Notamacropus eugenii: one gene and its partners. The protein of the gene in region 3 interacts with the protein of the main gene of each other region in a pairwise test. Links are inferred from orthologs where the notes say so. Each region holds a gene or a part of one and is shown on either strand. Other genes may lie near its edges.

Evidence for each region.
Region 1: the proteins of ATXN3 (region 3) and DNM2 interact in binary tests that used the Homo sapiens proteins (3 or more experiments, as listed by UniProt). The link is inferred for Notamacropus eugenii from reciprocal best matches to the Homo sapiens genes ATXN3 and DNM2.
Region 2: the proteins of ATXN3 (region 3) and ARHGAP19 interact in binary tests that used the Homo sapiens proteins (3 or more experiments, as listed by UniProt). The link is inferred for Notamacropus eugenii from reciprocal best matches to the Homo sapiens genes ATXN3 and ARHGAP19.

Annotation. Positions count from the first base shown.
Region 1 is NC_092875.1:79,229,812-79,240,058, forward strand, and holds the start of DNM2 (dynamin-2), read right to left. Parts: upstream 3,700-10,247; 5' UTR 3,540-3,699; coding exon 3,379-3,539; intron 3,097-3,378; exon of another isoform or gene 2,850-3,096; intron 1-2,849. Other genes in the region: QTRT1 (queuine tRNA-ribosyltransferase catalytic subunit 1), read left to right, coding at 5,349-5,648, 6,940-7,008, 7,498-7,636, 8,560-8,638, 9,673-9,788, 9,922-10,060. UniProt on the Homo sapiens protein: Catalyzes the hydrolysis of GTP and utilizes this energy to mediate vesicle scission at plasma membrane during endocytosis and filament remodeling at many actin structures during organization of the actin cytoskeleton.
Region 2 is NC_092872.1:214,075,854-214,085,651, reverse strand, and holds the start of ARHGAP19 (rho GTPase-activating protein 19), read left to right. Parts: upstream 1-5,446; 5' UTR 5,447-5,498; coding exon 5,499-5,554; intron 5,555-9,798. UniProt on the Homo sapiens protein: GTPase activator for the Rho-type GTPases by converting them to an inactive GDP-bound state.
Region 3 is NC_092878.1:38,406,683-38,416,289, reverse strand, and holds the start of ATXN3 (ataxin-3), read right to left. Parts: upstream 4,682-9,607; 5' UTR 4,614-4,681; coding exon 4,590-4,613; intron 1-4,589. UniProt on the Homo sapiens protein: Deubiquitinating enzyme involved in protein homeostasis maintenance, transcription, cytoskeleton regulation, myogenesis and degradation of misfolded chaperone substrates.

The DNA of each region.
Region 1 (10,247 bases), on a different chromosome or scaffold from region 3:
AGATAAGCTTTCATCCCAATCTGGGGATAAACAAATAATACATGCTGAGTGCATTAGAAAGGTACAAACAAAATCATTACTGAGACTCAAGAGGTGTGGGGGGCATCAGGAAAGGATTCCTGGAATGACATCTGACCTGGATGGGTGAGAATTCCAAGTGGGGGAAGGCAGGAAGGGAATTCTGCATGTAGGGAAAGGCATATGAGTTGGATAAGACTGAGTCTGGTTTGGCTGTACTGGGGAAAGGGCACTGGCATCTGGGGACCTGACTTTAAATCTCCCAATCCCTGACCTTGATTTGGCATTCAGGAGCTTCAGTCTCCTGATCTATACATGGGAACTAGACTAGATGATCTCCAAGGTTCCTTCCAGTTAGCTCCTATGATAGATGACAAGGAGAGTAAGTAGTACTTAGGGTTAAAGTTGAAAAGATCAACAAAATATACTGAAGACCTTGAATGTCTCACTAAGGAATGTGAACCCCGCCCAGTAGACCAATGGAGGTTATTGGGCAGAGGTTATGACATATGTATAATGAAGAGAAGTTTGACATAGCATGTAAATAATTGATTGGAAAACAAAGACTGGATAGCGGTGAAGACCTATTGGAGGCTATAATAAAAGTCAGAACTAGGCAGGTAGTATTGGAAGAAATATGAGTAGTTAGGTGACACAGCAGATATAAAGTGTTGGGCCTGAAGTCAGGAAGACTCATCTTGAAGACAACTCTGGGCAAGTCACTTAATCCTGTTTGCCTCAGTTTCCTCATCTAAAATAAAGTGGGGAAGGAAATGGCAAAGCGCTTCAGCACATTTGCCAAGAAAACCCCAAATGGGGTCAACAAGAGTCAGACCAGACAGAACAACAACTGAATGAAAGCTTGTATCTGGGTGATGACTTTGGAAATAAATGATACTGATGAGGTAGTGTTTAAAGGACTGGGGATATGAAGATGACCAAACCTGAGAGCTTAGCCATTTTATTTTAATAATAAAGAAATAAAGTGAGAACCCTGGTGTAATTAATGCATTCACCCCAACTAAGGCAAGGAGCCCTCAAGGGAGATGGGACTGAGTGATAGGAAGTTAACAGAGACTGGGTTGGGAAGGAGAGGAAAAGAACCTCTTTTATCAGAACTACATACTGCCCTGCCCCTCCCATCTAGTGAAGGAATTTGAAAATCACCCAAGTCAGTCCATTCACAGTCACCCTCCAGTCACCGCCTCAAAAACACACCACCAGTTAAATGTGACAATGTCACTATGGCAGGACTAAAACAAATTCTGGAAGAAAAACTACCACCTGCCTGCAACTGTGCTTGACTGTACAGTTTTTTTTCTAAGACGGAAGGGCTTGGTTAATTCTTTAAAAGTTCTCAATATTATTTGTCTGCAGTGTAGGGTACTTGTGAATTTTTAAAATTTCAACTGTTTTCAAACCTGAGTCAGTTTTATTGTTGAGCTTTCCAGGGAAGAAAGGCAGGACAGCTACATGAATGCTTTTAATGGTCAAGGAACAGCACAATATAATGAAAAGTTTCCAGGATTTGAGACTGGAGATAGTTGGGTTCAGATCCTACTTTGTTTATGGCCTAGCCACTTTTGGGCCTATTTCCTCTTCTTTAAAATAAATTAATATAGTGTTTGTAGTATATACTTCAAAGGCAGCTAGGTAGTTCGGTGGATAAAGTTCTGGGCCTGAAGGCAGAAAGACCAGAGCTCAAATCCAGTCTTGTGTGACCCTGGGCAAATTACTGTAACCTCTGCCTCAAACCACTGGAGAAGGAAATGACAAACCATTCCAGCATCTTTGCCAAGAAAACTCCATGGACAGCACTGGTGTGATATGGTCACCAAAAGTGGGACACTACTGAACAACAGTACATATCCCACAGGCTGCTTTGAGGATCAAATGAAATGACAGATAAAGCAACTACTGTTATTACTAATACAAAGGACTCCCAAAATTTTACCAAATGTCAAACTGTAGGCCAGAAAAGGCTTATAATCACAAAAACAAACAGAAAACCCTAACACTTTGAGTAAATTAGTTACTTTCAGCAGGGACTGTTTGAAAGTGTTCTGCAAAGATCTAAAGGTACAATATCAACTATCTAACTTGGGTTTCTAGACTGCTGGCACACGTTTCTCTGTAAACCTAGACATGCAAAGAGTGGGTCTCCAGGAAGGTGTTGGCCACACTAAGAGCCTATGCCGCTAAATAGGGATGAAGGAGAGGACACACATGACCACAGTCAGGTTGCCCTCCCAGAATAAGGAAGTTAAACATGACTCAAGAGCCCTTTTCGAAGTAAAGAAGACACTTTACTTCGAACTTCTCTTTGACAAGCGAAAGGAAGGATTGGGGGGGGAGGGGAGTAGCTGCTCCACTAGCTACCACTGAACTACATTGAAAGTCCACTTTGAAACTTGGTCTCGACCCACTAAGCTTATCATCTCCTAAAGCTATCCTGCAAAGTAGGGGAGAACCAACCAGTCATCTCTGATGGATAAAGGGGGTTGAGATGGTTCTGAACCTGGAGTTGTCAGGTCTACAAGGCACAACGTCCCCTTATGAATCCCTGGATCCAGTCTCCCAGCGCTGTCCTTCCCTCGACAGCTCAAATGCCCAGAGCCGAGATAACCGGGGCTGCAGTTAACTCTAATCAAGCCTGGCAGTCTGCAAAGAATAATAAACCCTAGAGCATCGGCCAAACCTAACGCGATAATGGCAACAAAGGCACCAGGCTGGTGTTCCCCCGCCCCTCCCCGCCAGGCACTTCAATTGGTTGGGAGACCCCCCTCCCAGCACAAACACACCCTGATAATGCCAGGGAAGCCAACAGTGACCTTGGCACGTCACGTCACCGCCCTGGGCCTCGGTTTCCTCCTCTGTAAAATGAAAGGATTGATGACCTAGAGGTCCTCCAGCTGTACGACTACGGAGACCCGCTCCTTCCCCGCTCCAGACCGGCATTAAACGGCTCGGGGCCAGGAGGGCTGTCAGACGTCCGCCGGGCACCTGCCGGGCGGGCACACGGAGTCCTCCCCAGGGGGAGAAGGGCGACGCTCGCCGCTGTGGATCTCCCCCCGGGTCAGAGGTCGGAGACCGCGTGAGGTCCGAGTGACCCCCGGATGACCCCCCCGGGGGAGGGGGCCTAGGCCGGGGCCCATCCCCGGACCCCCTCTACGCCGTCCACGCGCACCCGCCAGCGGCGCTCCTCCACCCGCGGCTCTGCCCGAGGCTTACGCAAGCGGCGCAGCCAGGCGCGTCCAGGGCCCATTCCTCAAGCCGCTTGCGCCCGGGCGGAGCGAGCAGGGCCCGCGGGGAGGGGGAGCGCCCATCTTCCGCCGCCGGCGCAGCCTGCCCAAGACTCACCGGCCGACGAAGTTCTCGAGCACCGAGCTCTTGCCGGCGCTCTGGCCGCCCACCACGGCGATCTGCGGCAGGTCCAGGTGGCAGCTCTGCCCGATGGAGCTGAACGCGTCCTGCAGCTTGTTGACCAGCGGGATCAGCTCCTCCATCCCCCGGTTCCCCATGGTGGCGGCGGCGGCGACTCCCCCCTCGCGGCCCGCGAGACCTCCCCAGCCTCCCAACGACCCTGCCCCGCGCGCCGGCGGTTGCTCCCCCGGGACTCAGCCCAACTCCCGACTCCAAACTTCGACTCACAGTCGCCGCCTCATCCGGTTCTCAGGCGACACCCGACCCAAGCGACCTCCCGCCCCTTACGCAACCGGGGCTGGCCCTCCCAGCCGAGGCTTCGCCCCAAACCCTTCAAACCACTGCCTACTGGCCCCGACTCCTGTCACTCTCGATCAAAAGCCAATGGAATAGAGGTACGGGCTTACGGATGATGGTTATGGACGAAAATGTCCTAAGCCCCTTTTCCTTTCTCGAGAATTCATTGGATAAAGGAACTGTCACTCTTCCCGAGACCCAATAGGCCGTGGAACCTGGTTGTCAACGCCGGGGGCGGCGTTTCCGGAAATTGCATGCTAGTCCCGCCTATTTTAAGACATCTTCGCATTCTCATTGGTGAGACTACCTGTCTGTCGGATTAGCAAACCAGTGATGTTAGCGGACTCCACCCACCAAATCAAATGTGATTGGGTAATACGTCACAGTAGCCCGATTCCTTCAGTTATTCCATTGGCCAGAAAAGCTGTCATACTATCTGTTAACTAGAGCAAGAAACGGGGCGGTGCTTTCTGGCTAAATTTTGTCTGTGATTGAGAAATGCATCTGTCGATCAATTTAGCGTTAGCTCTTATTTGTTAACGCTCAGACTCCTCGAAACAACGATCACTTCTAGATTTAGAAGAGCTCTCTGAGAAAATCAGCGTCCCCTGCTGGAGGGAATCAAGATTTCCTCCCAATGCTGCTTAATTAGTAATTATGACAAAAGAAATCTTCCGATTAGAACGGATGAAGATAAAGCTATACGGTTCAACTCCATACCCCAAGGATCCCTGGTTTTTGGGAGGTGGTCATTTTTCACCCTGCTGCACTGCTTTGGACGTCGTGGCCCCAGCAACCTTATCGTCTTGCAAGATCAGTTAAGCGTTGGTCCTCACCCCTCTGCCTCTGGGACCCCTCTGAATGGAAGGTGGGTGGAGAGCTCCTCCCAAAACCTCCATAGAGGGTTCCCAGGCCAGATATCTCTTAATTTCCAACCAAGCAGCTGTCTTTTGGATTTCTTCACAACTCCTCCCCTTTTCATTGTCCACCCTCCCTTAGATTATAAGCTCCTTGAGGGCAGGTCTTTTTCGTAATTGTATCCCCTGCGGTTTGCCTGCATATGTAATATTTATCAACTGAATGGCTATCCAGTCTTTGGCTAACAGCAGCAGTGAAAAGGAACCCATCGATTCCCAGGACAATCAGGCTGTGCGTGCTTAATGCTACATTCTAGAATCCTATCTATGGATGCCTTTTACCTAAGAATCTCCGGATTTATGGCTTCTAACGACCATGTTCCTCACGTTCCAGCCTCCTTTTCTAAGGCGGCAGGCAGCTTGTCACTGCGGAAAACTACAACTCCCAGCACAGCGCGCCTCCGTGACGTCACCGAGCTATGTAAAACAGGCTGTCCTAGCCGACTTCCCCATTTGACCCAGGATGGGATTCTCAGGAAGGGCGGAGTCGGAGAATAAATCAGGGCCACGTCATTTTCAGAATTCAGACAACGATGTTCCAGGCATTTTAAGTGTATTAATTTGCCGACTCCAGTTCTGGTGCCTCAAAAAAAAAAAAAAAAAGCGGGCCCTTCTCTGACCGCCGGGAAGCCCGTTGCCATGGCTCCGAGACGCCTTCCGCCTGCTCCGCTTGCCACGTGACCAGGTAGTAATATGGCGGCTTCCGGGGAGCCTCCGTCCACGAGGTGTCCAGAATCGACTGCCGCAGTAGCTGCTTCTGCTGCGGGCCCAGGGACCCGGGCCCCGGCAGCCCTGGCCCTGCGGGTGGTGGCCGCGTGCGGCCGCAGCAAGGCGCGGGCGTGCGAGCTGCACCTGCCGCACGGCACCGTGGCCACCCCGGTCTTTATGCCGGTGGGGACGCAAGGGACCATGAAGGGAGTCACTGCAGCGCAGCTGGATAGCCTGGGCTGCCGCATCTGTCTGGGCAACACGTACCACCTGGGCATGAGGCCGGTGAGTGCGCTGCTGGTGGAGGCGCTGACCTCTGGCCCGCAGTGGGGAAGGGCGCTGGGCCGCTGCGCCGGGACCCCCCCGGAGGCGGCAGCGAGCTGGGGGAGATGCTGACCGCTGGCCCTCGAGTGGGGAAGGCCCGCATTCAAGATCGGGTGCAGATGTGGGCAAGTCCCCTCACTTTTGCATGCCACGGGTTCCTCTTTACCGAAGGGTAAAATGTGGATGACAGTATCATGGGGAAGCACTTTGCAGATCTTAAGGCGCTATGTAATGAATGTTTTAGCAATGTTCAGTCGTGTCGACTCTTCCCCACCTCCTCTGGGATCTTCTTGGCAGAGATGCTGCAATAGTTTGCTGTTTTTTTCTCTAGTTCCTTTTACAGATGAGGAAACTGAGGCAAACATGGTTAAGTGACTTGCCCAGGGTCACGCAGCTAGTGTCAGAAGCAGAATTTGAACTCAAGAAGACGAGTTTCCTTGATTCCGGGGCAGGCATTCTTTCTACTTAACCCCCAGCTGAATACTAGGCAGTAGCTGTGTGGGGCAGTGGATAGTATCTGGCCTGGAGTCAGAAAGAAATAAGTTTAAATCCAGCCTCAGACACTTACTAGCTGTGTAACCCTGAAGGATCATTTAGCCCTTTTTGTCTCAGTTTCCTCATCTGTAAAATGAGTTAGAAAAGGAAATGGCAAACCACTCCAGTATCTCTGCCATGAAAGCTCCAAATAGTATTGGAAAGAGACAGATACCACTGAACAACAACAAATTCTTATTAGTGGAGTCAAAAAAGTCAGGGCACCTGGGTTTTAATCTGAAGCCTTTGGTACCTTTCCCTGCATTGAGCCTTAGTTTCCCTGGTGGTTAAACATGGGGGTTAGACTGTATTATTTTTAAATTGTCTTAATCTCTAATTTTAAATCTTCCTTTTAAATCCTCTCATCTCTAAGGCCTGTGAGGGATCAAGGGCTCCCTACTTTTGGACCCAAAGATGGGAATGGCTGAGGTGGGCAACCTCCAGATCAGGCTCACCCAGGGGTGGGGAACCTTCAGTTGCAAGGCCACATGTGCCCCTGTAGGCCCTTTGACTGAATCCAAACCTCACAGAACAAATCCCCTTAATAAAAGCATTTGTTCTATAAATCTTGGACTCAGTCCAAAGGCCACACCCAAGGACCTAGAAGGCCACACATGGCCTCAAGGTTGCAGATTCCCCACTCCCGTGCTTTTTCTGTAACAGTATAGGAACCTCTGTCCTGGTCTCTCACTTGTAGTGACTGAATCTTCTCTCCCAGGGTCCAGAGCTCATACAGAAGGCCGGTGGGCTGCATGGCTTTATGAACTGGAACCAAAACCTGCTCACGGTGGGTCTGGAACCCTTGGTGGTAGGGAGGTGGGACACTGGGAAAAGCAGTGTGTTTTAATGGAAAGGGCCCCAAACTTAGAGAGGAAGCCTGAATGGGCTCCTGACTCCCTGTTTGAGCCTCTTAAAGTTTCACTTTATAATATAAAAACAGGAAAAAATTATCTTTGAATTATCTGCTTCCCTGGGTTGTCTTGGAGAAGCATTTTGTAAACTTTAAAGCGCTCTAGAAATAGGAATTGCTGTCATTGTTCCAGGGGCTGAGAACAGTGAGGTGGAAAGAACCCCTGGATTGAGGATTAGATGGCCTTCAACAGGGCACACACTTTCTGTTGCTCAGTGTCCTGTGTCCCTTCACCCCCCAACCAGTAAAATGAGGGGTTTGGCTTTGATCATCTCCCAGTTTCTAGATCTGTCAACTTATTTTCTCAATGGGACAGTGGCAGATCCTTATTGAGGACCTGAGGTCAATAGGGAATGTCATCCACAGGACAGTGGTGGCTTCCAAATGGTGTCCCTGCTGGCCCTGTCTGAGGTGACCGAGGAAGGAGTGCGATTCCGTTCCCCATATGATGGAGCCGAGATCCTGCTGAGCCCAGAGAAGTCTGTGGAGATTCAGAATGCACTGGGTGAGCCCTGGATGGTGAAGAGGAGCTAGAGACTAGAGCTTCTGGCCTTTCTTCCCAGGAAGCTGACTTGGGATGGGAGTAGGGGGACTGGGGAGCAGAAGGTAGTTTGTAGGGGGAAGAATTTGAAAGTAGATACCCTAGTTCAAATCTCAGCTCTGACTGTGACTGTGGTTGTCATTTCTCCTCTCTGGTTAGCTGATCTGTAAAGTGGAGAATACAGTTCTTTCATTATTTACTTAATGGGCCCTTCCAAAGTGAAGAGCTTTGTAAGTCTTCAAGCTAGGTGGCAGTGTATAGAGTACTGGGCCTGGAATCAGCAAGAATTGAGTACAAATCCCAGCTCAGACACTAGCTGTGTGACCCTGGGTAAGTCACTTACCCTCGGTTTGCCTCAGTTGTATAATGGAGGTAATATAATAGCACCTACCTTGAAGGGTTGTTATGAGGAACAGATGGGATGATATGTGCCTGGCACATAGTGGAGCTGTATCAAATCTTATTCCACCCCTGCCCATGTAAATGTATTTATTTGTAAGACACTCAAAAATTTTTATTAATCACAGGGCTAAACTCTAGGCACATAAGGTCAAAAAAAAAAAAAGAGTACAATTTCTGCCTTCCAGGAGCTTACTGAGAGGTATGATATGTAGATACATATGATATAAGGTAGGGTGGGAAAATATTGACACAGTATATGAGAAGTTGAGAAGGATAAAATCACTTTCAGGGAAGAGCAGAGACTTGAGAAGGCATCAGAAAGCTGGCTTATTTGTTTTCCTCCTTTCTGGCTGATTTCTGGGTTGTTTTTTTTCTAGATCTTACCGTGTTTTAAGAAGAGGGTTGTCCTGATTGCATCCATCCCCAACCATCCTCCCAACAGTAGAGATTCTCTGACTTTCCCTCTCCCTTCCCCTTCTTTCCAGGCTCAGATATTATGATGCAGCTGGATGATGTGGTCAGCAGCACTCTGACGGGTTCTCGAGTGGAGGAAGCCATGCACAGGTCAGCGGTTTGCAAATCTTCATGGACTATAGAAATGTGAATTCTCATCATCTAAGCTGTGGTTCTCTCTCTCCCCCCTCCTCCTTCTAGCTCCTTGACCTCATCACAGCCTTTGATCCCACAGACCACCCTCTTCTCTCAGGATTTTCCTGACCCTGTTCTCTCCTGATTCTCCTCTCCCCCACTAACTGCTCCTTCTCAGTTACCATTTACCAAGGTGGCATCTGAGATGACAGAAGGGGACATATTATGTGAGAATTGAAAGAAGATTTAGCAACAGATTGGATGGGTGGGGTGAGGGAGAATAAAGGAAGGCACCGAGCTTGCCAGCTGAGGGAATTGGAGAGATGCCCCCCTTGTTCAGACCTCATCTAGCTGGTCTTCCTGCCTCAGGTTTTCCCCTTCTGCGGTTCCATGCTCTCTACGTTTTCCGAGGCAGTTTCCCAAAGGGTAGTTCTGACCCTCCTCTCTCTCTCTCTTAACTCTGTAAACTCCTCTTTCTGGCATTTAAAGGTCTTCATGAGCTGGTCTCTACTTTCCTTTCTTATTCTTCCACTTGTTTCCTTGCTTTTGCTCACCTGAGATGCTCCCTCTTCCCAGACTGATGCTTTTGGTCTGGTCGTCCCCCATGCCTGGAATGGTTTCCTTCCTCCCTCTCGCTCCCTGGTTTCTTTCAGGACTCAACTCAAGCGAATCTTTCTCCATGAAGCCTTTACCTGGTCCCCTCATTTGTTACTTTGTATTCTTTTCGTATGTTTCCTGTATATATTTGCTTCTATATGTACTGTCTACCCTATTAGAACATAAGCCCTTGGAGGGCCAGCACTTTTTGCATTTGTCTTTGTGGCCTCAGAACTTAGCATGGTACCTAGTAGGCACTTAATAAATACTTGTTGATTGATTTCATCGAGTATTTGTTGACTGACTAGCAGCAGAGACATTACTGGTGTCCCCACACCTGTGGAGGGTTCTGGTCCTCTGTCCCGTGCCCCTGAAGGCCAAAGGAGAGGCTGTAATCAGAGGGACCATTGCAGGTCCATCCGCTGGCTAGACCGGTGCATCTCGGCCAATCGGCGACCCGACCAACAAAACTTATTTGCCATCATCCAGGGGGGCCTGGACCCAGTTTTGCGGGGCAAGTGCCTTGAAGGTAAGTGAAGAGCTCATGCTTCCCAAGGACATTTAGGGGAGAATGGGACAGAGCAGAGGCTTCACCTGTTGCCTTTCAGAGGGGGGTCAGAGGGGTGGTGACTTGGCCCTTTCTGTGTTCCCTCTCCTCCCAGAGATGACCAAGAGGGATGTGCCAGGCTTTGCCATTGGGGGACTGAGTGGGGGTGAGAGTAAGGAGCAATTCTGGAAGATGGTGACGCTGAGCACAGACCGGTTGCCTCAGGAAAAACCCCGTTATCTTATGGGCGTTGGGTAAGGGAGTGTCTGTTGAAGTGGAACCAGAGCCCTCAGAGCTTCTGGTCTGGCATAGAGACATGGCCCCTGTCTTTAGGGGATACCTCCCACTCCCATCTCCAGAGCAGAAGGAGGATGGGAAGCAGACCTGAGGAATGTGGGAGAGGGAAGGTCTTTGGCCTCTCTTGGGCATCTCTCTTCTCCT
Region 2 (9,798 bases), on a different chromosome or scaffold from region 3:
AATACTTTAGAAATATTATTTCCTTATCCTTACAACAACCTTGGAAGGTAGGTGCTATTATTAGCCTCATTTTATAGATGAGGGAACGGATGGAGACAGAGTTAAAGTGACTTTCCCAGGATCATAGTTAGTGTCTGGGGCTCAATTTGAACTCATGTCTTCCTGATTCTAGGTCCAGTGGACTATCCATTGAATCATCTGGCTGTCTCATAAATTCATATTTGTCTATAAGGTCTGACAGTAGAGTTTATGGACTATATTTCTGGACTCTAACATTTTGTGTTGAAGATGGAAAATCTTGATTTCCTAGGAAGCATAATTCTAGAATCTAGTCTTCTAGCCCAAAGAGTTAGATTTCTTGGGTGGTACCAGTCAGCCTTGGGGATTTCTACAACAAACAGCAACCCTTAGATCAAATTCTGAATAGTGTGTCTATTGGAGAAAGAACTTCCATATGTTTCTGGCCATAGAAGCAGCAAGGAGATTTAAAGTCATGGCAGGCATACAACATGGTGGGTGTAAGAGATAGGAACCTTATTGCCTTCCCACTCCTCTCTATTACACATAACATAGGCCTAATGGGAAGAGGGTTACCTCTCCAGCAGGCCCTGAAGTGTGGTTTATGGGAGACCAAACCACAGGGGCACTATGTGTGTAGGACCCTGTTAGAGAGCTAAGGATTCACCAAATTATTATAGTGTTGCCTGTTAGCCATCCCTAATTCATTTCCCTTCTTAACTCTTTGAAATGAAACTTCTCTCTCCAAAGTCACTAATAATCTCTTGATTGCCAAATCTAACGGCCTTTTCTCAGTCCTCATCCTTCTTGACGTCTCTGAAGATTTTGACACCATAGGCCATATATTTCTTCCTAGGTTTTTGTGACATGGCTGTCTCTTGGTTCTTCTCCTATTTATGTGACTGCTCCTTCTCCTTTGCTGGATCTTAGCTCAGGTCACGCCTACTAACTGGGAATTCCCCAGTGCTCTGTCCTGTGCTCTCTTCTTTTCCTTATTTCACTGGGTGATTACATCAGTTCCCATGGATTCACTTATCATCTCTGTGTAGATGAATCTCAGATCTACTTGTTTAACCCAAACCTCTCTCCAGACCTTTAGTCATATATCTTCAACTGCCTATTAGACATCTCAAACTGGATGTCCCAAAGACAAATTTAGCTCAACATGTCTAAAACTGAAATTACCTTTCCCCTCAAAGTTTCCATTCTTCTGAACTTTCCCAGTATTATTCACCTAGCTAGGCTCACAATCTAGGTGTCATTTGCTTTTGCAACTTTTCTCATATAGTCCCCCTTCTTTCCTCTGACACTAACTACTACATCTTAGGTTAGGGACTCATCACTTCATGACTTGACTATCAGAATAGTTCCAAGTCTCTCCCCTCTCCAATCTGTTATCTACTCTGTGGACAAATTACTCTTTCTAAATAAATTGAAGGTCTGATCATATCATCCTCCCTCTTAATCCTCCCTACCCACTAAAACCAGTGACTTCCCATTATTTCCAGGATCAAATTAAAAAAAAAAATCCAGAAAACAAAAACAATTTTTTTTGCTTTTAAAGCTCTTTGTAACCTCTTCCCTTTCTACCTTTCCAGTTATCTTATATCTTACTCCTCTCCTCCTAGCCTGTGATCCAGGGACTCTTGGACTCCCAGCTGTTCTGACACATTAACACTGTCATCTCCCAACTCTGACTGGTTCCACTACTCTGTCATACCTGGAACACTGTTCCCTCCTCATCTGGCCTCTGCTTCTCTGGCTTCCTTCAGTCTCAGCTGCAACCTTCTGCAAAAAGCCTTTCCCTTCTCTCTGAGATGACTCAGTTTATCCTAGACCTATCTTGCATGTTGTCTCGCCCATTAGAATGTGAATTTCTGGGGAGCAGGGACTGTTTTTTTTTGTTGTTTTTTGTTGGCTTTCTTTGTAACCCCAGGGTTTAGCACAATGTCTGCTCATAGTAGGTGCCTAATAAATGCTGGTTGTCTGACTGCTGTCAACACCAATTTTGTTTCCTCCTGAGGGAAACTTCTTTGAATACTTTATGATGGACTCCTGTGAGTTCTCTGAAAGCTCCTGGGCTTGTCTGAGTCCTTAAGCAGCTATATGGCTCAGTCAGTAGAACATCATACTTGGAATCAGGAAGCCTCTTTATGAGTTCAAATCCAGTCTTAGATACTTATTAACTATATGATCCTGAGCAAGTCACTTAATCCTGTTTGTTTCAGTTTCCTCATCTGTAAGGAGAAGGAAATGGCGAACCACTCCATACCATATCTTTGCCAAGAAAGCCCAAAATGGGGTCACAAAGACTAGGACATGACCAAAATCACTCAACAACAAATGAGTCTTTAAGTCTTTTGCATTTTATGTTGGGTGAATAAAGGCTAATACCCAATGTGGATTTGGTTACCTTGAGTTTTTGTATAGGAACTGGGTACCCCAGTTCCCCACAAATATGGGCATTGGGAGTAAACTCTAGGTGGAGGTAACATCTCCTGAGCTCAGACCTGAACTGCATGAGCCCCAAGCTTGAGGGGTCCTGGGACATAGGTTCCAAATGGAAAAGACCTCTGGGAGCTTTTGTTCTTGTTCTCTGAAGAGGGGCTAGAAAAGAAAGAGGGTGTGGAATGGAAACAGCTTCTACCCGAAGAGGCTTGAGGCTCCTTAGGCCACTTGTTGACTTTTACTTTAAATTTCCTATTAGTAAATTCCTTACTCATTAGTAAATGATGAGTGACACCTTTGGGGCCATGCTGAGAAGGAAAGTAGATCCAGTAGAGGTTAGGATGGGGATAGGAGCTATTCTTATGTTAAGATTTTTAGAGAATTCATGCCTCTGAATTGGAATTCAGATTTGGAATTCAGAGTGTATACGGGCTGGGGAGCATGAAGAGATACAATTTATACAAGTTTTGAAAGCTTGTACAGGCTTAGCACCCTTTAGCATACACTCTAAACTTAGGGGACCAATCCTGTGTGTATGTTAACAGCCCCTAAGTGGTACCATGAATAGAACATCAGGAAGACCTGAGTTCAAATCCTATTTCAGGCACTAGCTTGTGTGAAACTGGCCGAGTTGTTTAGCCTCTGTCTCAGTTTCCTCACCTGTAAAGTAGGGATAATAACAACACCTATCTCCCAGGATTATTGTAAGGGTCAAAATGAGATAATACAAACTGCAAAGTGCTACATAAATGACAGCTACATATTACAAAAACAACCCTGAAAAGCAGCTGAACTGAGATCAATTATGATGACCTGTCCTGGTTTGGGAGAACAGATGAAGAAACGCTTCCCTCCTCTTGACAAAGAGGTGGGAGATTGTAGGTATAGAATGCTCAAGATGGAGTTGTTTTGTCACTCTGTTCTGCAGAACTATTTTCTTTTGCTACAAGGGAGAGGTGTATCAGGAAATGAATGTGGTATAAAAGGATGAAAGTCATCAGTAAAGTAAGAAATGAAAAGCAGACTAAGGGAGTAGTCAATAAGTACATTTAACTTAAGGTATTTAGTCTGGGAAGGAGAAGAAAAGTTTAGTCTGAATTTCTGAGGCAAGCCGTGGAGCTTTCTGGGGGTCCAAACTTAAGAGCATCACAATTTTTACCCAGACTTGGGGGAAAGAGAGAAAAAAGATTTCCATTAAAGAGGCAGTGAGGTGGCTCAAAGGATAGAGTGGTAGGCCTGACTTCAAACGTGGTGGCCTCAAACACTTACTAGCTGTGTGATCCTGGAAAAGTCACCTAACTTCTGTTTGCCTTAATCCACTGGAGAAGGAAATGGCAAACCATGCTAGGATATTTGCCATGAAAACCCCATGGTCCACCAGGTCATGAAGAGTCAGATATGACTGAATAACAACAATTCAATCCACAAATTTAAGAAAGAAGCTTCTGGTTCTCTGTGCTCTGCACATTATCACTAAGCCCCTCTAACTGAAGGTAGCTTCTTAATGTGTTCCCCTCATCTCTCTGCTTTCTACCTGGATATAAAAATTTCCCTTACCCTTCCTCTCTCTCTAGTTCTGAAATTTCATGGAATTCTCCATCTCCAGTTGCAGTCTTCAGACTGGGTGATATTTCCTGTCTTGTACTGGTATAAGAAGGGGTAGCTGGGAGGTAGGAGGAAGAAAATGCTTTACCATCATTCATACCACATTTGCCTGGTGATGTCCAGAAAAGGGGTGTTACACTTGACAATGAAGTCCTATACATGCTTTAGGACAGACTTGTTTTGAAACAAGTAAAATATTATTTAATTTTGCTTACACATTGAAAACTCAAGACAGTGGATTGAGGTAAGGAGGAAGCTCCCTCCACCCTTTAATATCTCCTTTCTAAGGAGAATAAGTGGGGAGGGGGAGAGAGTTGCAGTATCTCTCTATACACCCTCCTCCCTCCTCTGGCACTGACCCCATCCAGGTGCCAGGATGCGCCCTCATCCCCTCACATCTGGGTTACTGCAATAACCTGCTTGTTCTCCCTGGTCTCCCCCCCCCCCCCCATCCATCTTTCTTTCACTCCACTAGAGAAGTGTTCTTCCTAAAGCGAAGGTCTGACCATGTCACCACCCTCCCCCCCTTTAATAAATTATCTGTGGGAGCAAACAGAAAAGTCTCCGTCTGGCTGTTAAAGCCCCTCATTCTAACCCGGCCCCTTCCAGTCTTCTTGCAGCTTTCTCTCCTCCAGGTACCCTACGTTGGCCCTGTCTGCCCTCCACGCCCCCAGCGCTCTCCTTTCTCACACCCCTCAGTGACTTCTTTCCGAGATCCTCTCCAATTTGTCCCGATTATCTGAGTGTCAGCTCCACCCTTTGGCCTTTCTTTGTATTCTCAACACCCAGCAGAGCGCCTGGCACATAGGCTTGGCACCTTTTCGGGATGCTTCCTGTGCCCTCTCTGTTTCCTTATCTGCACATTTTCCAATGACATTCAGCAACTTTTATGAAGTCCCTACTGTGTGCCAGGCACCGTGCTGCCTCTACGGAAAGGGTGCGTGTGGAAGATGATCTACACGTCCCTCTGTCCGTCTGGTCACTTATCGTACTTGAGTTCTGTGAGGGCTGGTCACGTGTCATTTTCTTCTCTGACTCCCCAGAGTCGTGCACATAGTAGGTGCCTAATAGGTGCTGAACGACAAAACGCCAGGGGAAGGAATTCGTACTAATTTGGGTGGCACAAGAGAAGTGGGAGAGAAACCCAAATAGGATTATTGCTTCAGCAAACGTTATCCACCTTCGTGGGCATTTCCGGCTTCAAGTTCAAGGCGGGCGCCAGGAGCGCTTAGAGCCCAGGCAGGTTTAGACCTGAGCCCCACGTTAGCGCGGGGCGGTTGGTGATTTGAATAGACCAATGGGAAGGGCGGCTCAGGAGCGGCCCACCCTCAGCCAATCCCCTGCAAGAGGCTCGAGACTATGAGCCAATAAGGAGGAGCGGAAGGCGGGGCCGTGGGCGGGAGGGGAGGCTGAGGTTGATTACAAAGATGGCGACCGAGTCGAACAGTGACGGGGAGGTGCAATATCGGGGACAGAAGAGACGGTGAGTGAGGTTCTTGAGACCGCTCCCCCGGTGCCCCGATCGTGGGTGGACGCTGCTGCCGCCAGCAGCCCGGTGGCGGCGCCAGCGGAGGGTTTTCTTTCTCCCTCCGATCTAAATCTGCAGAGGCGCGCGGCGCGTCCATAGTAACGCCGGCTCGCCGGGGCTGTGGGTGGGTAGCGGCCAGGTCACGTGGCCCCAGGCTCGCGCTGAGCCCTCTGCGCATGCGTCCTGTGTCACCCGCGCCCCCCACCCCCCCCCTCGGACCGCTCCTCTGTCTCCCAGGCTGACCTTCCTCTCTTCTCCCACGACGTCTCCCGTGATGATCTCTGTGGCTCCCGTGGATTTCCAGAGCCTGCCCTACTCCCCCGGGAGCTCCGGCCTCGGGCACCAGCTGCCTGCGGGCCGCTTCCGACCCGACGTTGTGAGGCGTGTGTCCTAAACAGAGCTCAACATCTTGGGAGCCCGCCTCCCCACAGCGCCACCCCCCTCCCCCAGGCTCGCCAAGTGGGGTGCTCCCCCCGGGACCCAGGCTGTCCCCGTGCTGCTGTCGCCCCACACGGACCCCCCAATCACCGCACCCGCCTTGCCTCGGGGGGAGGCAGTGGCTTTGCCAGGAAGACCCCGAGTGGGGTATGGAGGAGTCAGTCACGCACGTGTCTGCTGCGGAGGGCTGCGAACTCAGTGACACGGGCATGCACCTACACACGAGCGCATACATGCACACATGCACGCACACGCACATGCACACGTGTCGAAACTCACACGTGTGTCAAAACTCACATGCATGTTGAAACTCGCACACGTGTGCACACGCACACGTGTGTCCACATGCACGTCCACACGCACACCCACAGAAACGCACATGGATGCACACACATACATGCACGTGCACAGAAACGCACATGGACGCACACGCATACACGCACACGTGCACACAGTTACAGCACATGTGCTGAAACGCACACGTGTGTCGAAAGGCACGTGCGTGTCCACGGGTACACACGTGTTGAAAGGCACACGTGTGTCCATGCGCACACGTGTGTCCACATGCACGTCCACACGCACACCCACAGAAACGCACATGGATGCACACACATACATGCACGTGCACAGAAACGCACATGGATGCACACGCATACACGCACACGTGCACACAGTTACAGCACATGTGCTGAAACGCACACGTGTGTCGAAAGGCATGTGCGTGTCCACGGGTACACACGTGTTGAAAGGCACACGTGTGTCCATGCGCACACGTGTGTCCACACGCAGATGTCCACATGCACGCACGTGTCCACATGTACACACACGTGCATGCGCAGAGAAATGCACATGGACGTGCACACATACATGGGCACGCACACAGCTACAGCACACATGTGTTGAAACGCACACATGTGTTGAAACGCACACACGTGTCGAGAGGTGCATGTGTGGCAGAAGGTGCACACGTGTCAGAAGGCACATGCGTTTCCACGTGCACACGCATGTCTGGAAAGAACTTCCCTGTCTATTATTGCTTCCTGCATTTTGTTATTATGTAGAAATGCTGTTGATTTTGTAGGATTTACTTGATAGCCTGCAACTTTGCTGAAGTTATTGTCTCAATTAGTATCCTTGAAGATTTCCTAGGATTTTCCAAGTAAACTATCCATATATCATCAGCAAAGATAATTTTAACTCCTTTCTACCTATACATATCTAATGTATATCCGTACTATGTTGTAAGGTTCCAAAGGGTGGTGAGATTTAGAAAGGGAAACATTGATTAAGTGTTTATTCCTGGACATTATGGTTTCTTTAAGAGCAGGTCATGCCAAACTTATCAAATATCCTTTTTAGGAAATTTTTTAGTTAGCTTCTTAGCTTTTTACTTAGTTTCTGTTCTTAGGAAGCTTTTTCTTATTTCAAATCTAAATCTGTCTCTCTGAAACTTATGCCCACTGTTTCTAGTTTCAGGACTATGTAGGACAATTCTGTCTGTCTTCCATATGACAGTCCTTCATTTGTTGAAAACAAGTGGCATGTTTCCCATACATCTTGTCTTCTCTGGGCCAAACATCTTTAGTTCATTCGGCTGCTCCTTATATAGTTTTATTTAAGGTCTTTCCTTCCTAGTTGTCCCTTTTTTGGGCACTCTCTGTAAATGTCCTTCCTAGAATGTGCTTAGAACTTGTCAGTATTCTGGTGTGTTCTGGCTAGGATAGGGTGAAATGGAATCATCATCAGGGAGGTATGTATGCATGTGTATATGTATGGTGACTACCAGATTCCACTGTTTATTTATTGCGTTTTCTTAAAGTATTTCTAAGGCTTTCATACACAGGAATTGGACTTGGGCTTTCATGTACAGGAACCTGACTTGTTCTGTCTGCACCAGTGAACAGAAATGGAAGCAACTGATAGCAATTGACTTTAGGCAGATTTGGGTTTGATGTAGGTAAGAACTTCTTAACCCATTTAACATTTTCTGGAGGTGGTAGTGGGCTTACCATCACAATAGATCTTTAAGATATGGAAGATGAACACTCTACACAGATGATGGAGGGGAGATTCCTCTTTTAATACTGGTTGCAATAGATTTTCTCTAAGACCTTTCCACATAGGAGATTCTGTGGTAGAAAAAAGGGAAAGTACCCTGGCATGATTTCCCTGAGAAAGAAAAGGTATTGAGAGGGGCCGGTTAGTTTCTCACCCTGGCCACCAGGTGGGGTAAGTAACCCAGAACTACTTGTTGATAAGGCTGTTATAAAATAGTCCAAGTTTTGGAGTCTGTATTAGTATGGGATGGAGGTAAACTGCTGTCTGTAACTTGGAAAGTTCCTGCATCTGTGTATACCTAGAGAACGCAGAACTACTTTCTGGCAAGACGGAAAGATTTATGCAAACCTATTGACAATTATTCATCATTCACCTCCAGAGTGGATAATACTTCACTGTGTGCCATGAATGAATTCAGGGAAGATTTTTTGCTTCCTCTTTATTATGGAATGCATCTGGGAGATATTTATCTTGCAGTGAGTGAACTCCAGCCAGCAATTTTAGATTCTGGCACAGGGTAGTGACACATTCAGGCAAATTTGGTTTTATTTCCAAAATGTTGTAGAAAAGCTTTCTTTTTGCAGGGTGGGTAGATGATTGGGTGATAAGAGACTTTAATTGTTCTTACAGATGTTTTACTTAAACTCTGCCAAGACACAAAGATAAATAATGTGATTAGAATTAGTGGGGTAAGCTAGGAATTTTCTGCATCAGTCAAGTACACTGTGTGCTATGCAGTTAGGCCATCTAGCTATTGCTTTGGTTGTGCCTTCACGAATATCCTGAAAAACTGAACATGTTTTTGTGGTTGTTGTTAGGAAAGTGCTTCAATCTAGGTCTTTTTAGGGCTCTTAAATAGGTATAACATCAAAATTCAATTAGAAATGGTTAGTGCTACCATATAGGCACCTGGAGTTTGGAAAAATGATTCTGTTTGGTTAAAGTATCCTTTCCTAGGCAGTATATATTTTAGGAATATATAGCTATATGTTCTAGGTTGCCTTGGTTTAGGTTCTCGTTACCTCTCACTCTACTCTTGTAATAACCTCCTTTGTAACTGATCTCCTTTCTTTCAAGTCTTTCCCCACTTTATCCTTCTCATAGTTGCCAAGGTGATTTTCCTAAAGCCTGGTTCTGTCCATGTCAGTTCCCTACTTGGTAAATTCCAGTCCCTGTTATTTCTGGATCAAAAAAAACTTCTCTTTTTGGTGGTTTGAGGCTTTTATAACCTGATCCCAAGCTACCTTTTCAGTCTTGTTACACATTACTCTCCATCACACATTCTCTCTTCTAGTCTAACTGGCCTTCGTACTTTTCTTCATACACAATAGTCTATCCATCTCCTGTCTTGCTCTACCTTTGAATTAGTTGTCCCTCACATCTGGAATGCACTGCTTCCTCATCTCACCCTTGCAGAAACCCTAGTTTCCTTCAAGGCTCATTTCAAGTGATGCCTTCTATATGAAACCTTTTTTAGTCTACTCAGTTACCCCCATTTTCTTGTATCAATTTTGTGTATGTTGTGTGTATGTATATGTGTGCAGTCTGGGCTAGAAAGTACATTCCTCAAAGGCAAGAACTGTTCCACTTTTGTCTTTGTCCCCAGGGCCTAGAACCATGCCTCCTGAATAGCTGAAGCTTAATAAATGTTTGTTGATTGGTTGATTGACAGCATCCTGTAGAACTCTAGTATTCTATGAAAT
Region 3 (9,607 bases):
AGATGAAGAAATTGAAGGTCAAACAGTTACAAAAGCAGGCTAAAAATTCAAGTTTCCCCACTCTCTGTCCGGAACTCTTTCCATTATACCACTTGGCCTTCTTTCCTAGGGTTACTATTCACCAAAATGAATGTCAAGTTTCCTAGAGTTTGGACTTCAATATAGGAATTTGGCTGAAAATAAGATCATAAATCTAGATAATGGAAGGGACTTCAAAGGCCATCTGATTCTCATATCTATATATCTACCCGTTTTTCCTGAGCTCCAGTCTGTCATCACCAACTCCCTTTTGGACATCTTAAACTTTGGTTGCTGAGTGCAGAATGGATTGAAGCATGAGTAGAGAGGCTTTAGGAAAACCAACTGGCACATGCTAGGCATTTAATAAATGTTGATTGACTGTTGCAATAGTCCTGGCAAATGGTAAGGAGGGCTTGAACTAAGATGACTGCTATGTAAGTAGAGAGAAGGGGACATAGAAAAGAGATGTTGTGGACACAGGAACAATAAAATTCACCCACAGATCAAATTTGTGAGGATGAGTAAGAGTCAAGAGTTGAAGCCATGAATCTGGGTGACTGGAAAAACAGAGATGCCCTTATCTAGAAAAGTTTGAAAAAGGAATGAGTTTGGGGAAAAAGAATTACTTTTGACCATATTGAGTTTGAGATGCTTACAGGACATCCAATTCATTTCAAGATGTCCAAAAGACAATTAGTGATGCAGGAATGAAACTCAGGAGACAGACAAAGCTGGATATAGATGTGGGAATCATTTGTACAGAGATAAGTGAGCAAATGAGAGTTGATGAGATCAGCAAGCATGTTAACATAGTGAGAAGACAAAATTGTTCAGGGCAGAGTCTTGGAATGAATAAAGAACCAGCAAAAAAGTCTGAGGAGTAATCAGACAGGTAGGAAGGAAAGAGGAGAGAACAGTTACAGATACCAGGAGTAATTGATGATCAACAGCCTAAGTACGTAGAGAGGGATGAAGGAAGCACGATAGTGATTGAGAAAAGGTCATTAGCTTTGACAGTAAAGAGATGATTTCTGACTGGGGAAAGTAATTTCATTTGAATAATGAAAATAATTGAGGCTGTGAAGGGTTTAGAAGACAGCAAAAGTAGATGAAGTGGAGGCATCTAATATAGATGGCTTTCCCAAGGATGGTAGGTGAAGGATTTTTTGAGGATAGGAGAAACAAAGGTAGATTGCAGGGAAGGAATATATAAGAAGAGATTGAAGATTAGAGAGAAAATAGAAGTGATAGAGGGGGCAATCTGCTGTTTAGAATCAAGAATGCATACATGTAGAGAGGGTTTTCTTGGCAAGGAGAGAGGCCCTCTTCATCCTACAGTGAAGCTGGAGATAGTTGAAGAAATGGCAGAATGATGTAAGATGAAGAGAAGATGAAGGAGTTTTTTTGTTTAATGGCCTCAATTTATTTGGAGATATAATGCAAGCTCCTTATCAGAGAAGATGCAGGAGACAAATAGGTTTTGAGTAACCTCTTTGGTGCTCTACTCACTGTGCCACCATGTTGCTCCCATTTTCTTCTTCTGATACTCTCCTCTCAAATCTACTTATCCAAACCTAACCTTTGCCTTGACTTAGAGTCTTTAATCTTCTATTGTATGGTCTCAAAAACTGGAAGTCCTTTAGACAGCCAAGCTCAAAATCTAGGTGTCATCTTCAAATCCTTACCCTCATGTCTCTCACAAATGCTCCCTTTTCTCCTCTGACACAGCCAACACATTGGTACAAGCCCTTGTCACCTCATACTTGGACTCAAGTTCTCATTCTGACAATACCAGTGACCCTGGAGAAGTCACTTAATCTCTCAGTTCCTCAAGCAATGTTCGAAGACCATAAATTGCAAACGAGGTGACCATCTTCATTGGCAGAGGAAGTTTCCTATACCACTGAAATTACAGGTTCCATCCTTCCAAAATGTAATTTGGCAATTTCATGAAGTAGCATGTAAAAGATTATTTAAAGTATTCTAAAATGAAGCACTCAGAAAGACATATAAGACATGTATTACAATAGCATTGAAATCAAACAGAAACAATTTCTGGGAGCTGCATAGTGACAAATTAATATTATCTATGTTGTATTGTCTTTTTATTCATTTTGTTAAATTTTCTCAATTACATTTAAATCTGATTCTGCAGCCTTCCAGCATGAATTTGACACTTCTGATGTATTATACAGAAGCAACTGCCAATAAAGTTCTATTACCAATGACTATCTCATGATATGGAGGTAACCCCCCATTCATGAAGACTATATCAGTTGAATGAAAGCAGTGGCTGATCAGAGGATGATAAATTTATTTTGAAAGGATTTTGAAAGTAAACTTTTCCAATCTGTTAATTTTACACATAAGGAAACTGAGACCCAAAGAGGTTATATGACTTTCTCAAAGTCATGTAAGTACTAAATGGCAGAAACAAGATTCAAACGCAGGTGCTCTGGCACCAAATTCAGTTCTTCCTGTGGTACCAACAAAACCAGAAAGACTCTGAGTAGAAGAAACAGACTGTCTATTGAACAAGGAAATGCTTAGCTGTTTGGGGAGGCTCAGCACCTGAATGTTGGTGAATTTTGGAATCTTAGAAACTCAGCAAATAGTCTACCAATGTGTAGAAGGGTCACAAACTACATCATGGAAGGAGAATGTATAATTATAGAATTATATATCTTTTGAAGTATTGAAATATACATAAATAAAGCCTCATTATATGTCTCTCTGCCAGACAACTATACTTCCTTTTCAAGTAAAACAAATAATCAATAATGCTAATCAAGGGTTATCTATACCACTGACATCATCAAAATGAAAAATCTATTATCTTCTTTAAAATTTTCTGAAAAATCTTCCAACTAAAATTTTCTATTTTTTAAAAAATCAGCTACTTCAGACTTATTATAACAAATCCATTATAATGCCACTATGATGGATTTTTATTTGGTAGCTGTGAATAAATTGTTTAAATAAAGTACTGACCATTTAAAGTACAAAAAAGACCCTCTACCTGAGCCATCAAAATAATGTCATAGTAATATATAATGGATAACATAAAAGACTCCACTTTTCCAAACTAATCCTGCCAGTTTTCCCTTCTACACAATGATATTTACTATAAAATAAGAAAACAACACTTGCCCAAAGCTGTTTATGGAAAGTTTCACCCACACCCAATGGGCCTGATAATTATAAAGAGAGAAGACAAGTCTCTCCACATACCACAACCATTTAATTGCCCTTATTTTCAAGTGGTCATTTAAGAATCAAAAGGAAGAAACAATCAGGAACAAACATATGTACAAAAGTCTTGGGCAACTAATTAAGGGTTGGAGATGCCCCAGTTCAATCTCATGTCAGCTAAGGAGTAGCACTCATCTAATGAGAAACTGAAGCTGAGCTTAACTTCTTATAAAGATGAATATGTGTGTGGTCCAGACCACGCACACCAAAACCTCTTCTGGGCTAATTATTTCAGTGGAGGGGGGGGGAGAAAAGATTTCTGGCTTGGGGGCTTTTAATGACATACAATAATACAAATATTGACTAAAAAACTACTCTGCACTGGACACTGTCAGGGATAATAGTTTTTAAAATGAAATTAGTGTTTTTTTCTCTTAGAAGGCTTGCAATACAGCAAGGAGATAAGAAATATCAATAGAAATAGGGATGATACAAAACATTACACGATAAATACCTCAAAGAAGTAAAATACAAAGTGCCATCTGAGGGCTCAGGGAAAGGTCGGGGGAAGGTGGTATTTGAATTGGATCTTATGGCACCTACCAAGTTTTCAAAAATGCTTTCCTCAAAAGCAAGCCTTCAAGGAAGGGAAGACAAATCCCCAATGAAACTAGGGTTGGAGTGGGGTGTGACCAGCTTTGAAAGGACCACACAGCTAATGCCTTCCAGACCCCGAAGTCCAGGAGTCTTTCTGCTACATCGCTCTGCCAGTTCAAAGATGGGTAGGACTTGAAGTATTGAACTAATTAAAGAATTAGTTCAGTGCAGGAGAGGGAGGGCTTTCTGGACGAGGCTTCTCAGCCTACTTACCCACCCTACAAGGTGGGGAGGTGGAGGTCTGGGGATCTCCCATCCTGCCAGCAGCGGACACTGGAGCTTGGAGCGGGGAGGAAAAGCGGAATTGTAATAAAGATCATCACAGCAAACAATAGCTAGCTAGGGAAGAGCTGATCCAATGCACGCTACCACATCCAGGGCCCAAGGCATCCACGAACACGACCCCATCCCCTTCCAAGTCCCTTCTTCCGCCCCTCCCCGAAGCTTCTGACCCACGCCCCGCCGGTCCTTCCCGGACTCCTCGGAGCCCGGCGGCCGAAGGTCGGTGAGGAGGGTCCTTGGGCAGGCGAATGAGTGGGTGCCCTCGGAAGGAAGCAGCTGCCCACGCTGGGTGCCCCCTCCCCACGCTAGGTAGGCCCCGACGGGAGGGTGGAGGCAGCAAGAGAGGCCGCCTTGGCTTTCTGGAGAACCCAGGACTCCCTTCACCTCCCGCACCGCCCAAGGCAGGAAGAACGCCCTAGCGATCCTCGGACACTTACTTTCTCGTGGAAGATGGACTCCATGTTTATTTGTCTGGAGCCAACGGCCCCGAGTCGAACCACCCCCCTCCGGCACCTCCCCCCGCCCCCCGCCCCAGTTCTGTCCCCATCCCCACCCCCACGCCCTAGCCCAACCCGCTCCGCCGCGCCCCGCCCACGTGCTCCCGACGCTGACCAATCAAACGCTGGAGATCCGAGTCTTGTGAGAAGCAAGTGGGAGGGGGGAAGGAGGGAGCGGGTCCGCGAAGAGCCCTTCCCTTGGCGTAATCTCCCACGTGACCCTCGCGGGGCGGCCCCGCCCCGTCCACTCGGCTCTTCCGGGCCCCTGCTGGTCGCGTTCCTGGAGCCTGCATCCTCTTTGGGTTTACGGGAGGACCTTTTGGACGGGGTCTAGCGCCAGGGGCTCTTCTCGGTCGTTTGACTGAGCTGGGTCCAGGCAGGCCAGGTGGGTCCTTAACCTTTCAGGATCTTAGGCTTTGGAGCCCGCAGGGGAAGGGCCGTAGAAATCCTGTGGTCCTACAGCCCTTGTTTACAGAGGAGGAAACTGAGGCCCGAACCGTGGGGGTGTGAAGGCTTCTTCCCCCGTCACCTTCACAGTGCTAGCCTGTGACAGACGAGGCTCTGGCGAGGGGTAGGGAGCTTGGAGTAGTTGAAGAGACACGGGACAGCTGGCTCAAAATGTGAATGAATTAGCTTAGACCTTCTCTGTAGTCATTGGGAGCTTTATTTGATGCAGAAGCAGCGGGCCTAAGACTTAGCAAGGAGCTAAATAAAGGCAATGGTATAGGAAGAGGACCAGACTTAAATAGGATGATTTTAGGGTTTCCTTGTAGGGGCTGTAGGTCTAGGGGAGGTCTTGCAAGATAAAAGCACCAGGTGAGGACTATGAATGACACGATAAGGAAATCCCATTCCCCCGGATGAGGGGTGGGGATAAGGAATTATATGGTCCAGGATAAGGGGAAGTTGTGGTAAGGGGACACTTTAGGGCACCCAGGGTTTCACAAAGTCAATATTATTTTAACTCTTAGGGCACTGTTCTATCTACCTCATTTCCCCACTCTACCACTAGGTAGGAGAATTCTTTCAGGGGAAAAGGGGTGAAGGTCGTTGTCTTCAGTAGCTGCTTCCTGCTGAACAGGGGCAAAGAGTCCACTTCAGGGGCCAGAATAGGTTGGGGGGGCAGGTGATCAACGTGGGATGCAGAATGCAGTGCCAACTGAGTCCAGGGAGGAGAGAGGCAAGACACTCGGGGTCATCAAGGTCAGGGTGGGTATCCTAAAAGTTACTGTGGGTGAGAAGACACAAACCAAACCAGGAGATTAAACAAGCACACGCTAAGTATAACTATGATTGAGTGAAATGACCAATAAGGGGGTCACAATGAAGGGAAAGAAGGGAGAGAAACCACAACCCCCAAGAGGAGGTAGGGAGAGATAAAAGGCTGGAGTGGATATAAATCCAAGAGGCTGCCCGTAGTACCCTTTGAGTGCTCAAAGGAAAAATTCCATGTAAGACCTTCAGGGAATATAGGGAAAGAGCAATGGAGAGTAAGCTAGTGTCCTGGGCATGATGGTGACACACCCAGCAATCACATACTCTGCCTTGCCCCACAGAGTTCTCTGTTTGAATTAAGGCTTTAGACTTCCAGTTGTGAGGAAGCAGATGGGATAAGAAATTCATGTTTGTGTTGGCAAGGAACTAAATATTACATAGGTAACTTTTATTACATAGATAGGTGATATATCGATTCATGTGTATGTGTGTGTCATTGTATATGTATATACACATATGTATGTATATTTTATATATATATGTACACGTACATATATGTATACAAATACAGTTTTTGTGCTAAATTCATAATATATACTAAACTAAGTGTCCCAAAATACTTTGAACTTTCGGGATACTATTACACACACACACACACATATATATATATATATATATGTGTGTGTGTGTGTTACTCACATACACACTACTGACTGTAAATTTTAAAACTTCTCAGTTTGAGTGGCATCACGCAACCAGAAGAAATACAGAAATTAGCATGGGCCAAACCTAGAAACAAGCAATTTCATCGTTTTGCCCCAGCTAAATGAAATGCATATGTATTTTAAACTAAGTAGTCCTCCAACTTTATTGCAGTAACCATTTATTAAGCACCTACTGTGTTCCTGTCTTCAAGGAGTTTACTTTCTACTGAAGATATATCATGTAGAAAGGAAGGGAAACAAGCATTTATTGAGAGCATCCTACGGGTCAAGCACTGTGCTAGGTGGTTTTCAAGTAGCATCTCATTTGATCCCCACTGGAGCCCTAGGAGGTAGGTGCTATTGTTGTAGTTTAACTACTTGCCCAGGGTTACACGACTAGTAAGTGCATGAGGCTAAATCTGAACTCAGATTTCACATTTTAGCTCTATCCATTGAGCCACCTAGCTTAAAGTTTGTAAAGTACTTTGTATGTCATATCATTTGATCCTCAACACATCTGTGTGAAGTATAAGGTGTGCTTATTTCCAGTTTGCAGTGAGGAGACAGGCTTAGAAAAATAACTTACCTAAAGTTCACCCAGCTAGTAAGTGTTTGAGACAGGATTTGAATTCAGTTCTTTCTGGAGACACATGGTATAAGCCTTGAAAGAAGATGAGGATTCAAAGAAATAAGTCAGGAGGGAGTTCATTGATTATTGAAATCAGTTCTATCTGACTCCAAATCCAGTACTCCACCACTTCACCTAACTGCCTCAGTGGTTACATATTCTTCACGCAGAATATGTAAGCAGGTGGGAGGTTGAGGAGGAAGAGAATATTCATTCATTACATTAAGGTTTAGGGAAGACTTCAAAGAGGAGACACTTGGAGTAAACCTTGAAAGAAGAGAAGTCAATAGGGAGTGCATGTTTGTGGTATTATGTGCAGTGTTTAGATAGGTAACATCAGGTAGTCCAACTGGACCAGAGTGAAGGGGAAGTAATAAAGAACAAGGCTGAAAAGTTGCCAAATTTTATTGTTTCTGTTGCCGCATTTCTTTACTATGTCTCCCTTCTTTTCATTCACACAGCAACTACCCTATTTGACCTTTTGCCTGAAAAAATGCAATAGCTTGAACCAATTATTCTCTGTCCTAAATTTCCCCCCACTCCAACCATTCTCCACAAAGCAACTAAAATTATTTTTCTAAAGCATAAATCTGACTATGCCCCTACTTGATAAACACTAAATTACCTTTCTGATCAAATAGAAACTGCTCTGTTTAGCATTTAAATGTCACTAGATCCTGGCCCTTTTTTACTTTCTATGACTTCCTATTTCCATACTTTTGTACTGGCTGTTTCCCATGGCTGGCATGCTCTCCCTCCTCACTTCTGTCTTTTGGGAGTCCCTGGTTCCTTTCAAGACTCAACTGGAGCACCGTCTTCTTCAGGAGGCCTTTCCTGGTCCTCCCCAGCTGCTGGTACCTTTTCTTCCAGGGTTACTTTGTGTCTGTTTTGTACATGTCTGGTTTATACCAGTGTATGTTCTAGTTATCTCCTAAGTAGAATATAAGCTTCTTGGGGCAGAGACTGTTTCAACTTTGTCTTTGCATCCCTAGCTCATTAGCATACATGTTTGTTGATTGAAGTTGAAATTAGATTGTGGAATGCCCTAAATACTAGGTTGAGAAATTTTATTTCACCCCAGAGACTACAATGTGTTGCTGGAAGTTTGCGAGTAAGGAAGTAGTTAGACTTAGGCTGAAAGAAATCTTTTTGCTTGGTTCAGAAATAAAAAAATCTCATTTTTCTCAAGAAGTCCTGGGGGCTTGAATTCAAATCCAGTCTCTGTCACTATCCCTTGTGACCTTGCCCAAGTCATTTAACTCCTCTGCTCCTCAATTCTCTGAAGGGATTGAATTAGATGATGTGGTTCACTTCTAGCTCTAGATCTATGATTCTGTGAACTGACTCCTCTTTAGAAGTGTTAATGAGTAATAAAATACCTCCAGATGAAGCCAGCTAGGCATTTACTTAATTATTGTGCCTGTTCTGTGTATAGCAATGTTCTGGGAGCAGGAGTGAATACATACAAAAGTGTTTATTCAATTGAAAACTACTTGATAATTTAGAGGGAGAAGCAAGACAGATACATAAAAAGTTAAAAAGCACAGCAAAGCAGTGGCAGAAAAGTACCAACTCAGGGGTGGGGAACCTTCGGCCTCAAGGTCACATAAATCCTCAAGTACTGCACTTTGGCCGAATCCAAACTAGGGTCCCCCACTGTCCTAATTTCTTCCATGGAATTTTTCTATTACTACTATTAATAACTAGCATTTCTATAATGCTTTATAGGTTTGAAAAGGCTTTACAAATATTTCATTTGATTCTCATAATCTTGAGAGGTAAGTGCTATTACTCCCATTTTACAGATTAGGAAATTGAGTCAGACAGATTGTGATTTTTCCAGGGTCACACAGCTAATAAACATCTGAGACCGAATTGGAACTCAGGTCTTCCTGACTCCAGGAGCAACATTCTATCCACTGTGACACCAGCTGTCCTTACTGGCAACTAAAGAGGTAGTTTCAAGTTGGGAAGTGGGACTGACCTCAGGAAACCTGGGTTACAGTGCCAGCTTTGCCATTAATTCACCATGGGAACATATGCAAGTCATTTTTTGGTCTCTGCTTCATCTATAAAATGTTAAGACAATATATAATTGCTGTAAAGTTCCCTCTAGTAGGTATAACTTTAAGACATTTTATATTCTTCATCTTATTGGTAGTACAGGGAAAGCACAATGACTTTGGAGTCCCAAATCCACTATTTAACTAGCCTTGTAGCTGTGGCAACCTGTGAGCCTCAGTTTCCTTATCTTTAGAGTGGAAGTATTCAAGCAGTTAACCAACATGTATTAAACTCCAGCTGTTCATAGAGCGCTTTGTTGGGCAGTGATACCAAATTTAGATATGATATGGTCCCTGCCTAGGTGGAGTTTATAATTGTGTGTGGGGGGGGGGGGGTTAAAGAAACGT